3 linked regions of the Drosophila melanogaster genome follow. The protein of the gene in region 2 interacts with the protein of the main gene of each other region in a pairwise test. Each region holds a gene or a part of one and is shown on either strand. Other genes may lie near its edges. The genes, in order: pie, CG10616 and CG4955.

The links.
Region 1: the proteins of CG10616 (region 2) and pie interact in a two-hybrid assay, tested with the Drosophila melanogaster proteins (one large-scale study listed by BioGRID).
Region 3: the proteins of CG10616 (region 2) and CG4955 interact in a two-hybrid assay, tested with the Drosophila melanogaster proteins (one large-scale study listed by BioGRID).

What each region holds. Positions count from the first base shown.
Region 1 is NT_033779.5:10,421,181-10,424,936, reverse strand, and holds the start of pie (pineapple eye), read left to right. Parts: upstream 1-2,156; 5' UTR 2,157-2,293; coding exon 2,294-2,407; intron 2,408-2,474; coding exon 2,475-3,756. Other genes in the region: Wdfy2 (WD repeat and FYVE domain containing 2), read right to left, coding at 7-203, 267-393, 454-566, 839-1,186, 1,257-1,417. UniProt on the Drosophila melanogaster protein: Required for survival of imaginal disk cells possibly by regulation of cell apoptosis. Required for germline stem cell self-renewal through mediation of BMP signaling.
Region 2 is NT_037436.4:12,469,881-12,473,636, forward strand, and holds the start of CG10616 (uncharacterized protein), read left to right. Parts: upstream 1-1,847; 5' UTR 1,848-1,956; coding exon 1,957-2,049; intron 2,050-2,141; coding exon 2,142-2,316; intron 2,317-2,666; coding exon 2,667-2,757; intron 2,758-2,826; coding exon 2,827-2,952; intron 2,953-3,045; coding exon 3,046-3,093; intron 3,094-3,304; coding exon 3,305-3,756. UniProt on the Drosophila melanogaster protein: May play a role in the trafficking of a subset of G-protein coupled receptors.
Region 3 is NC_004354.4:17,079,322-17,083,077, forward strand, and holds the start of CG4955 (uncharacterized protein), read left to right. Parts: upstream 1-2,125; 5' UTR 2,126-2,262; coding exon 2,263-3,329; intron 3,330-3,401; coding exon 3,402-3,756. Other genes in the region: CG4949 (uncharacterized protein), read left to right, coding at 1-265; CG8945 (uncharacterized protein), read right to left, coding at 1,102-1,265, 1,359-1,548, 1,638-1,999.

The sequences.
Region 1 (3,756 bases), on a different chromosome or scaffold from region 2:
TCTCACCCAGCTGCTTTTGATCCATCATTGAGCGGAAGTTCCAGAAGAAGGGCCTGGAGCAAAGCTGACAGTTGTTGGTATCCACCCAGCCAGGAACCTCTTTCCGCATTGCATTCATTTCCCAAAAAACCACTACTGAATCTTCGCCACAGCTTATCAGTTGTTGCGTGTGATTCGCGTACGACAGGGCGGAAACTTTGTTGCTACATAATCAGAAGTGCCGATTACTATCTTATTTTATGAATATTATTTAAGATTGGAGATACCTATGTCCCTGCAGCTCGTAAATGGTGCCACGTTTGCCACCAACATCCCAAACTAGCACGGACTGATCGCAAGCTCCGCTAAACAAGAGCTGAGGGCCTTCCACCCATTTGAGGCACCGGATTTCCGCTAAAAATTAACCAATTCGTATATAATTAGCTTACTAAATATCATTTGTAACTTGTTTACCCGAATGTCCATTGAAAGTGGTAATTAGTTGCACTCCCTGAACATCGCACCTTAGCATTGTTATCTGTCCAGCATGATCGCCCACAAAGGCATACTTGGCCAAAGCGTCGAACCTAAACGCAGATTATAATTAATTATATGTTGCTTATAGAATATTTCGCACAGTGCACACATTTATGCCAAAATTTTGTGTAGATAAAATGACTCAGTTGACACGTCATTAACAATAGAAGGTTCTCAAATTCTAAATGAATTCCATAGCCGTGAAGAATTGCAGTTTATTGCCGTGTCAAAGAAAGCAGTTTAATCCAATTAAATGACCCGCTTATCCCATATCCACTGTCGCACCCCCTTCCCCCTTTCACCATCCATTTATCATACTTACTGGAGAGCCGTGCATGGTGTCTCAAAGTTGTATCCGCCCACCCGTTTGCCGCTCTCCGTGCAATGATAGGCGAACTGCTTATCTTTGCCGGCGGAGAGTATCCACTTGTGGGTTTTCGAGAAGACCACGGCCATGACCCGCGCTTGATGGGACAAGTAATCCCGCAGGAAGGACAGGCGATTGCAGTCTTCGGATAGCGCGTACTGGGTGACCGTTCCGTTTTCCTGGCCGACGTACAGGTGCCGGGATTCCGAAACGTACTCGATGGCCGTGCAGCCGGAAGGCATATACTGGCAAATGCTAGGCCAATATTGACCAGAATCGCGTTTTAGCCAAACGCGAACGGTTCTATTGGGGAAAACATGAAAATGTCAGGCATACCATTTGTGTATATTTTTAATGGGCTACAGCTACGCACTTGTCATCGGAAACGCTAATTACGCCGTTTTCGCCCGGAATTAGGATCGCTGCGTTCACATCGTCGCTGCTGCCCTCCAGCTTACTCAGCAATTCCGGCTTTTTGGAGGTGTTAAAGCGATCATTGTTGGTCCGCTGAGCTGGTTTTATCTCGGCAGCCATATTATTTAAGGTGGATCCAGTCCGATGGTACGCCTACGCCCTATTTAACGCACTCGATGATAATGCGGTTATAAACAATCCGATTCTCGGACTGGGGAAGGTGAATGGAGATACGTGATTCACAATCAATTAACAAAACTGTGTTATTTTGTTTAACATTAAATATACTGAACTTTGTTGTTGGAAAGCTCGTCTAGATAGCGACGCCAAGTTTAGGAATGCTGCGGAATAGTGGAATCGATGAAATGAAAATAGAATCTTAATTGTTAGATATAGTTTTTGCGTATTATTGTATATTATTTTGCTATTAAAAATACTGAAGGTATTTCGTGTGATGTGTCGCAGCATTATGTATGCATATGCACGCACCACATTTTATAAACATACAAACGAGCATTTGAATCTTGAATCTCAGAAATCGCTTTATAAATGTATAGTCTTATGATTTTCATAATGGCATATCATATCTAATAAAACCTACGGACCACGCACAGTTATGTTTCCGGTTATCATGCTATTTAATTATTAATCACAAAATATTTGTTTATATTGTGTTAAGTTTTTAATACGTTAAAATTTATTATTACACATAAATAAATAATTTTATTATAAGTAGGGTTAACGCAAAATATAGCTAGTTAAGCAGATTAGATCATTGTGAGTGTTGCTCAGTGGAAACAGAGCTTTTCCAAAAATGTGCTTGGTGGAATTGAAGTATAATAAGGCGCTGTTGTATTTATTGTTTTTCAAAATCCTTGCCCGCCAATAGAGTAAAAAAGGAATGCAAAACATGTTGATAGTTTTAAAAATTATTCATAATAGCACTCAAACGAGTTGATCTGTCCAGCAAAACTAGTCTGAGCGGCCAGCTTACAAATGGAAGATAACAAGGAGCTGCAATGCTTAATATGCAAATATTCGGACACTGACGACCTGGTCTTTGGCGAATGGATGATTGTACGCAATTTGCAGGTGCACTATTTTTGCCTGGTAAGTGCGATTGTTGTGAAATGAAGAGAACTCCCGCTAATGTAAACTTCCTGATCCAATCCACCAGCTACTCTCAACGCATTTGCCGCAGCGCGGCGGAGATAGCAGTGGAATCCTGGGATTTCTGCTTCGCGATATCCGCGAGGAGGCAGCCGCCGCGGAGAAGAGGAAATGTTGGTACTGCAATAAGATTGGGGCCAGTTTGCAATGCGATCGTTGCCGGTCATTGTTTCACCTGAAGTGCGGCCTGGAGAATCGCGCCGTTTTCGAGTTCTGCGGCCAATACAAAAGCTACTGCTACAAATGCAGGCCGATGGATGACTACAAGCGACAGCTGCAGTCGAATCCGCCGAGGAACGCCACTTGCCCCATCTGCTTCAGTTCCATCTATAAGGTAGAGCTGCATTGCGTTGTGTACGGTGACTGCTGCCGCCTCGGATTCGCCCATAAGAAATGCATGCGTCAGTACGCTCTGACCTCCGGATATTACTTGCGTTGCATTTGGTGTCGTTCGGAACGTTTCAGGGATTCCATACGCCTGCAGTCGGTATTCGTGCCCGATCGCGATGCCACGTGGGAGAAGCAACGGAACGCCTATAGGGAGCTCCACGAGCGCAATCTGAAATGCGACCAGCCCAACTGCCTGTGCCCCAGTGGTAGAACTTATAATAGATTATCGTGGGTGATACTATGCTGCAGTTCTTGTGCCGCCACTTCGGCTCATCTTAAATGCTTGGTGGGCGCCCTGCGACTGCCGAAGAAGCGCGAGCGTACAGATTTCAAGTGCTCTATGTGCCTGGACGTGGAGAGGAGGATTGCTGAAGGACCGGCTCGCACAACAGAAGAAACCAATGCTGACGGCGACAACCAGGTGGATGGCTCTTTTTATGTGCAAAAATTGGGACCCGATGCTGCAACTCGATCCTTAACCCAGACTCCTGTTTTCTCCGAAGAAGACGAAAGCGAACGAAGTAGTAATATCACGGTTATATTCAGCCAACCGAAATCTAACGCAACAAGCGAGAGGTTATCCTTATCGCCGCCACAGGAGGAGATGATAGTGGAAATTCCTGATTCGCCAGAGGCGTCGCCAAAGACGTCCATCGATGAGAACCACTCGCCGCAGCCAATAGCAAGAAGGGACACATCCGACTCACCACAGCCAATAGCAGCAAGTGAGATCCCCGACTCACCGCAGCCAACAGCAGCAAGTGAGATCCCCGACTTACCGCAGACAACAGCAATAAACGTAAACCCTGAATTAACGCAGCAAACAGCATTAAACACGATTCCACACTCACCGCAGCCAGAAGCCAGCTTCTCAACGCAGCTAGTATCACAAACTTTCG
Region 2 (3,756 bases):
AAAGGCGAATCATGAATGAAACGCTGCTGACGATGACGTTCGAGTGCCCTCATGCCAGAGATCCAGAGCAAACGCAAACAATCGAACAGGAATAATTTACTAAGTAAATAATATCTGGATACCGATCGCTGCACGGTAAGAAATTGCGTAAACCGGTGACCCATATTGCTCAGCAACCAAAGAAACCTTTCAGCACTGAGATATTTTTCATTCCATTGTTTTCTGGGATAATTTAAAGTAACAGAATTATCTTCTTACAACATTTTTTTGTCTTAACTTGACAGTAAGAGTTCTTAATTAAAGTCTGAAATTTTTAAAAATATTTTTTACGATTTTTTTTTACTAGTTTACTCAAGATCTATAGCAATATTTAAAGAGTTGAATCAATGGTCTCTATGGAATAGTGTTATATATGGTATATACATATTTCGTAACCATTTGATCCCAATTTTGGCCAGTGTAATCCCCGCGAGTAGCGTGCGCCCTCGCCCCATCAAGTGGCACTTCAACAATCAAGCATTCACACAAGCAGATGGTCCGCAGCCGTTGGCGACCACCTAAATGAAATTTCATTTAGTTTTTTTTCGCCCGTCATCGCCGCCGCAATCGCAACCCGCTCCTCGAGATCTCCCCATCCATCGCAGTCCATCCAATCCATCCGTCCAGCGCAGAGTTCCAGCCCCAATCCCAATCCCAATTCCAATCCCAATACGGTCTCCTATTTGCTTATGCACACATTATCAACGTACGCCCGCCTTATGGAGTGTTTGTTTACCTAATTCGATTACCGATCGCGTCCGTTCGCGCCATAGTCCACCGGCCACTTGACCATTTGGGTGGCACGGATCCGTACTCATGGGGTCCGCTCTTCGGCCAGACGTCGTGCGTAATCGCCCCACGGCAGCTGATGCAGTGCAGCGGAATTGGGAGATGGAGATGGAGATTATGTTGCTGCTGGAGCCGGGGGCCTTAATTGAAGAACCTGCCACGGGGGTACATACATACATACTTTCATCGCTTTGCAGTCGCGGAGGTAAATTAAGTCTTAATATCCTAAGTCGAGTGTCTAAAGATTAGGAAAATAAACACTCAAGGACTTTATCGATTCGTAAAGAAAAATCAAAAGTAAACTGCAATTACATTTCAATAATAAACAACCCTATATCAAAGAGTCTTCTTTAAATTACTGCTTGTCAATTTCTTAAAATTAATAAATAAATCTATTCAATCATGTTCTAATTGATAAAAGTAAAGTGTGCCTATTCTCATAAAATTTGTATAAACATTCAGGGAGTTATTTAAATAAGGTATATTTACGTATTTATACGTATACAGTTATTGAATGTTATTTTTTTTTTTAAATGCCTCGCCAGGAGCTGTTAAACATATATATTATATTATCTAGATGTTGCACATGGTATTTGAAACACTTTTTAAATAAATCTTGGACAAACATGTAAAATTTAGTAGTTATTCTTAGTAAAAAAAAAGGGTAATGTTGTTTTATTAATTACACTTTTTAAAATTTCGAATATATTTTTAAATTTAACAGTTTTCTAGAGATGGCAAGCTTTTTTAAATAAACTTCGTTAAATATCGATAAGAATTTACCTCATAATCCATACTTTTAAAATATAACCTTCGGTCACACCAATTCATAGAGCTGGTGCGTATCGATAGTCGGCACATTCAAAATAAATAAATTCCCAAACACCATTTAATTAAGGTCAATGGACTTGATTGTGGCGTTATTTTTAAAATCCGAAAATAAATAGCAATTGAATTCAAATTTGAATAGCTTAGCACTATCGCTCACTATCGAAATTTAGCCTCGATAGCAAGTATTCGATTACAGCTACTATCGTGGGGGGTGTACCCAGCTCTAAAAATTTGTCATTTCGGAACGAATATAGTTAACATTAAATTTACGAAGTAAACAGAAACCCCAGAGCCACGATGCGCACAGTGCTGTTGAGCAAACACGACGAGCTGTACCTGGAGAAATGCGCACAGGAGAACCAGTTCTCGTACGGGATAATCGTGGGCCATGTAAGTGCCATCCGCCACGTAGATTTTGTTTGGTTCCCCCGCTCAACTGAATCTCCACTTTCTCCTGGTTTCATCCGCTTCGGTTGAAATAGCAAGCGGATCTCACCAAGAGCGTGGTGGTCCACCTGGCCAGGAACAACGAGGAGGATGCGGATCTGGAGGACCTGTCGGAGGTCCGGCTCACCATCTCGGACATCAACTCACAGGCATTGGCCTCCCAGTGGCTGAGCGCCAGCAAAATGTGTCCCGGATCTTTTGACGTCATCGGTGGGTTTGCGTGCTGCCCCTGCAGTTTTATCTGCCCTACCCAGAAATAATCATAGTCATAATGCTAAGGCATATTATTTATGGGGACCTTGTATTCCTCCCGTGGATTCGAAATTTAGCCAAACCCTTTTTTTTTGTATGTTTTGTATATGGGCTAACCCACCCAATTTGACTGTTTAATCTGTCAATTCGAAACTTTTGATCTTTCGTCATAGATAAATCTTTAAGCTATCAGTAATGGGTAGTGAAACCAGTAATGTAAACTTAGGTACTTAACTAAGATGAAAGTAAGCGAAGCTTTAGGACTTACCATCTAGAATTAATTATTAATGAATTATTTATCTTTGCAGGAATCTTTGTGTCTTCAGTAAGATCCGATGTAGTAAACGAACAGAGCGCCGAATTTAAGAATGCCAAAAAGCTGTTTTCAGATATTTACGAGTAAGTCACTAACTATATGAGTATGATATGAGTCTCCATTTGAAATGACCTCTTTTCTTACTTTTCCAGTTTGCTCCTGAAAAGCAACAGCTCGTTTGGCGTCTACACCACCGACATTGCACAGACTGATTTCGTATTCCTCTCGTATTCGCTGGCCGACAAGAAAGTGCTCTGCAAGAACTACAGCTATGGCAAGTGAGTATCGGAAACGTAATCCCTGATCACAGATACGGGTCTCAATGTGTATTCTTTCTTTCACCAAACGAATCGCTTACAATTTATAACTAGACATTGCAAAAAAACGTATTTTACGGCAAACATAAAATGCATCATATGGTAACTAAAAAGTTGAGAACTATGTACTTTCATAACTTATGTTCTATGTTCAATAATCACTTTCTTTGCTATCCTTGTCCTTGTGTTTCTTATTTCTTGGAATGCATTTTATGTGTTAGTTAACCATTAGGATTGTTCATGTTTATATGGTAGTTTGATTACATTCAGACTTTTCCTAGCCTAAATATAATATGAGTATTTCTTTTGATAGCGGCGGCACTTTCACCAATATGGAGTTCCGGTTTGTGGACAAACCCTTCGAGTGGATTCAGCTGGAGTGCAGCTACGATTTCGATGATGTGCTGCCCATACTGGACTCCTCGCGTCGCGTCAACATCGAAGACCAGTTCCAGAGTATGATAGTGTCGGTGCGCAAGAACCTGCTCGCCAGTGAAGTATTCCTCCAAAACGAAGTTGTCGAGGACACCATCGATCTGCAGGCCTATATCAAAAAGAAAAAGACGAAAGTGGACAAGCTGCAACCGACATCGACAACAGGTGGCACGGCCACTGCCTCGAGCAACACCACTGACTCCCTGCCGCGGCTTGCGTCCGAAGGAATCATCGGAGGCACTGAAACCATCCGGGCGAGCATCGTGCTCCCCATGAAATGCCAGCTGAGCAAACCGACGGACATCAAGGTGCGCGAATTTAGTGGCACGC
Region 3 (3,756 bases), on a different chromosome or scaffold from region 2:
GCAGCAGTGCTCCACGAACAAAATGGTCCGGCAAATTGCCAAGTGCTCCGCATCCTTTGTGAATTACCGCGAAATCCTGGCCAATCTGGCGGAACAGAAGGCGGGCAAAAGCATCGACACCATTGTGGTCATGTCGCAGGAACCGTATCCCATGTCAGCAGCCCAGTTCAAGCTGCTTATTGGACTCTATTTCCACGGCAACGAGTGCCACACGAATTTTGCCAAGCTCTCGGCCAAGATCATGGTCTCCCAGAGATTCGCCTAGACGAAGGACAGAAGTTTGGAGCCACTACAGTGCCTTGGTAACCAGTTCCTGAGTTTAATCATAGCTGGCAGTATTGTAGTTATTCGCCGTATGCTCTTGCTTTTCAAACAATACTTACTTAGAACGTTTACCTTATGCATTATTAAAACATGCATTTTGTCAGGTTAGACGAATATTTTCAAAGCTGGAACGAATTTTCCAATCTCGAACGAATTTCGAGTTATTAAGACTGCATTTCCATTTTATTGACTTAAAGCTATTCATATTGCCTTCCCAAAAGATATCCAAATGGGGAACGGTCGAATATTTAAGAAAATGAATTTATAAAAGGCAAGGCACGCTATATTATATCCGCATATAATACTAAGACAGTGCGTACATTTGGCAAGAACTTAAGAAATACTGTACGTTGAAAATATCTCCCTACATGGCATCCATGCAAAATGTTATACGAAAGCGAAGCAATCGAATGCTCGATCAAATATAAGACTTTATTATAGTATACTATTTAGTCTAAAAGGGATTAAAACTACCAAAAAAAAATTGCTGATAATTAATTATAATATACATACATATAACAATAATATTTATTATGCTAAACGGAAATCTCAACTTAAGGGAATTTATATGAAATAAAAAAAAAATTTCGAATGCATAAGATACGTAAATGCAGCTAAAAGTATTGGAGAATGTATTCCGGAAATACGGCTAGTGATCTCCGGAACGCAAGCCACCAAAGCCCGTTTAAAAGGAACTAAAACTCATTCACATGTAGCCCCACCCCAAATCCCTGCTGCCTTCGTCTTCGATTGGAATCCGATCTCCGCATCCCAGCCTCATATGTAGTCCAGCATGCCGCTTATGATCTCAAAGGCATCCCGAGCCGTGGGCTCAATGGCGCTGCTGGGCAGCAGATAACCGTGCACTCCGTTGTCCGCCAGCTGGAGCGTGTAGCTGAAGGGAATTCCGATCTCGTAGGCGGCAAAAGCGTCCGCACAGCCTGGATAAATCAAGGAAGCCAAAGGATTGGCAAGGTCGGATAAAGATCTCTATTATATTCTACTTCGAAGCAAATAATATAAATATTACGCACCCGATCGCTGTTCAATTAGATCGTTGGATGCGTCGACCTTATATCGGGACTTACTACCCTTTTTGCGCAATCCATCGGTACCCACCATCGCCACGTCCAGAAAATCATCCAATCTTTCTGAATTGAAAGTGGAATTGGCCTTGACCGGATAGGATATCACCTGACCATAGGCCTGTAGGGAAATGTAAAGCTGCAAAAATAATGAATAAAGTTAATAAATCAAAAAATATATCTATTTTAGAGAGTTAATATAAAAATTATATATTGTTCTAAGCATACCTTTATCTGCGTCCTATAGTCCATAAGGAACTCAGATACTGCCTTGGTTTCCGGTTCAGAAAATGGCGCTGGACCGGCGTAGAACTCATTGCAGGGTGCCTTGGAGCTACCCCGTTTGCCCCAATGATACAGCCAGTTTCTGTCCAGGTCCACCCCGTAGCAGACCTTATCCGGACCCCGTTTTTGCTGGAGCCATGTCATCGCCGAGTCGAGGAGGCCACTGGGAGGTGGAGTCTGGTGCTGAGATCGCGACTTCTTCCAGAAACGATCGTACTCGTGGCTGTACGCATATCCGTCCGGATTCAGGACCGGCATTATGTACCATGTGGTGTTCCGGATGAACTCCACGTCCTCGTTGCTTTCTGTTGAGTAAACGTTTTATGGGTTATTTTTATACATAACTTTACATAATGCATATGAAATAAATGTTAATAAATATTAATTCTCTTAAGAAAATAAATACGTTGTTCAACCGATCAACGTAGCCGCTTTTCCCCAACTCAAATTACATTAGTTATCCCTTTGTCAGTCCGTTAGTCAGTATATTTGTAGACCCAGAAATCGATAGTGTATACTTTAGACCTTTACAGCTTGCCACTTCTCCTCCAGTTGGACCAAGATCAGAATGGAGAGGCGAAGACCCCGAAAGTCCTCGCGTAAATACGTGTGCTCCAAATCAAACTCTTCAGTTGGAGGAGGAGTAGAGGAAGACAGTGGCTCATCATTGCCTGCCACCGCCAAAGCGTTACTCCTCCAGCCGGACGGTAATAAAGCACCAACCATGACATCCCTTCTGGGCGAACGACTCAGAAGAGTTTCTCGCATCGCAAGAGCTCCGCACAGCCTACAAGTTACCGAAAATCCAGAAGAAGGTGGAGCACCAATCGTACCACTAAGAGAATCCGGCGCATCGGAAGTGTCAGAAGTAAATCCGGGGGTTATGGTCATTCCGGAGTCGGCCAGTCCCCGGGGATCGGCGGTGCATGGACAACACGCTAGCTTGGTCTTCAGTGCTGAAGCCAGGGATTCGGACAGTACGCGGATATCGGAGGAAATGGTGGAAGTGTTCCAAACCTCTTCGGCGAGAACCACATCCAATGAGCCCGCAGGGGGCAATCTGCGCTTTGAAACCACTCCCGTGGCTGTAAGCGAAAGTATGGTTGGCAATATAAACTTCTCCCCGAACGCCATCTACGATCAGAACAGGTATAGCAGCATGATGTCCAACGGGGATTACAATAATGGCAACAGGGGTGAGAGTGAGAGGAGCGTGGGAGCCTGCCACCATGGTTGGGCGGCGCGACAACAACAAGTTGCCGCTGGACCTGCCGGCAGAGACACCCTGGGATTCGCCATCAGTCTGGGCGCCGCTAATTTGGGCCAGAACCGATGCAGTCTGGGCGTTGCATGCGATGAGGACTGTGGCTATGGAACTGGCTGTGATTTTGGATGCGGTCAGGCCCATGGCGTTGATCCCGGAAGCTTTCTAGGTCCGGGAACCATGGGAACTGGTCCATTAATATTGACAACGGGATCAGGAGGCCCACCTGTACAGAGCGCCCTACGAGGAGCTCAAGGTGGCGGCTATAAGCAAGTTGGCGCCGGGCAGCGGGGAACTTTTGGAACAGATTTCGGAAGTGAGCAGCTTAACTTCTTCATTACCTTCCTATTGGAGGTCCTCGGTGTTTTAGTGTGAGTATATATTTATATATTCCAGGATTGGATCATTCCAACTCTATGATAATCTACGTAATCTTCCATTAGTTTTTTTGCCATCTGCACGATAACATTTTGGATTACTCTGGGCTACCATGTTGTCCAGTTGCTGGTGGACCTGAAGAACGCCGATCGCAACATTCAGGTGGCGGTGGCCATTGTGTTCGGGCTGCTGCTCGTTGCGTTTGCCATATCGCAGGTGACCAACCTCAGTGGTTCCTGCTGTCATTCACGGGATCGAGCCCGTTCCAGAACCAAAGGTGGTGGCATTGGCTTCTTTCACAGATCCACCAAGCCAAAGACCAAGAGCTGTGCATCCAAAACCAAGACCTGTGCTCATAAGCCGAAGATTAAGAAGGCAGCCACTTGTGGACCCAGCCTGGGCTTTCACACGCACCGCAAA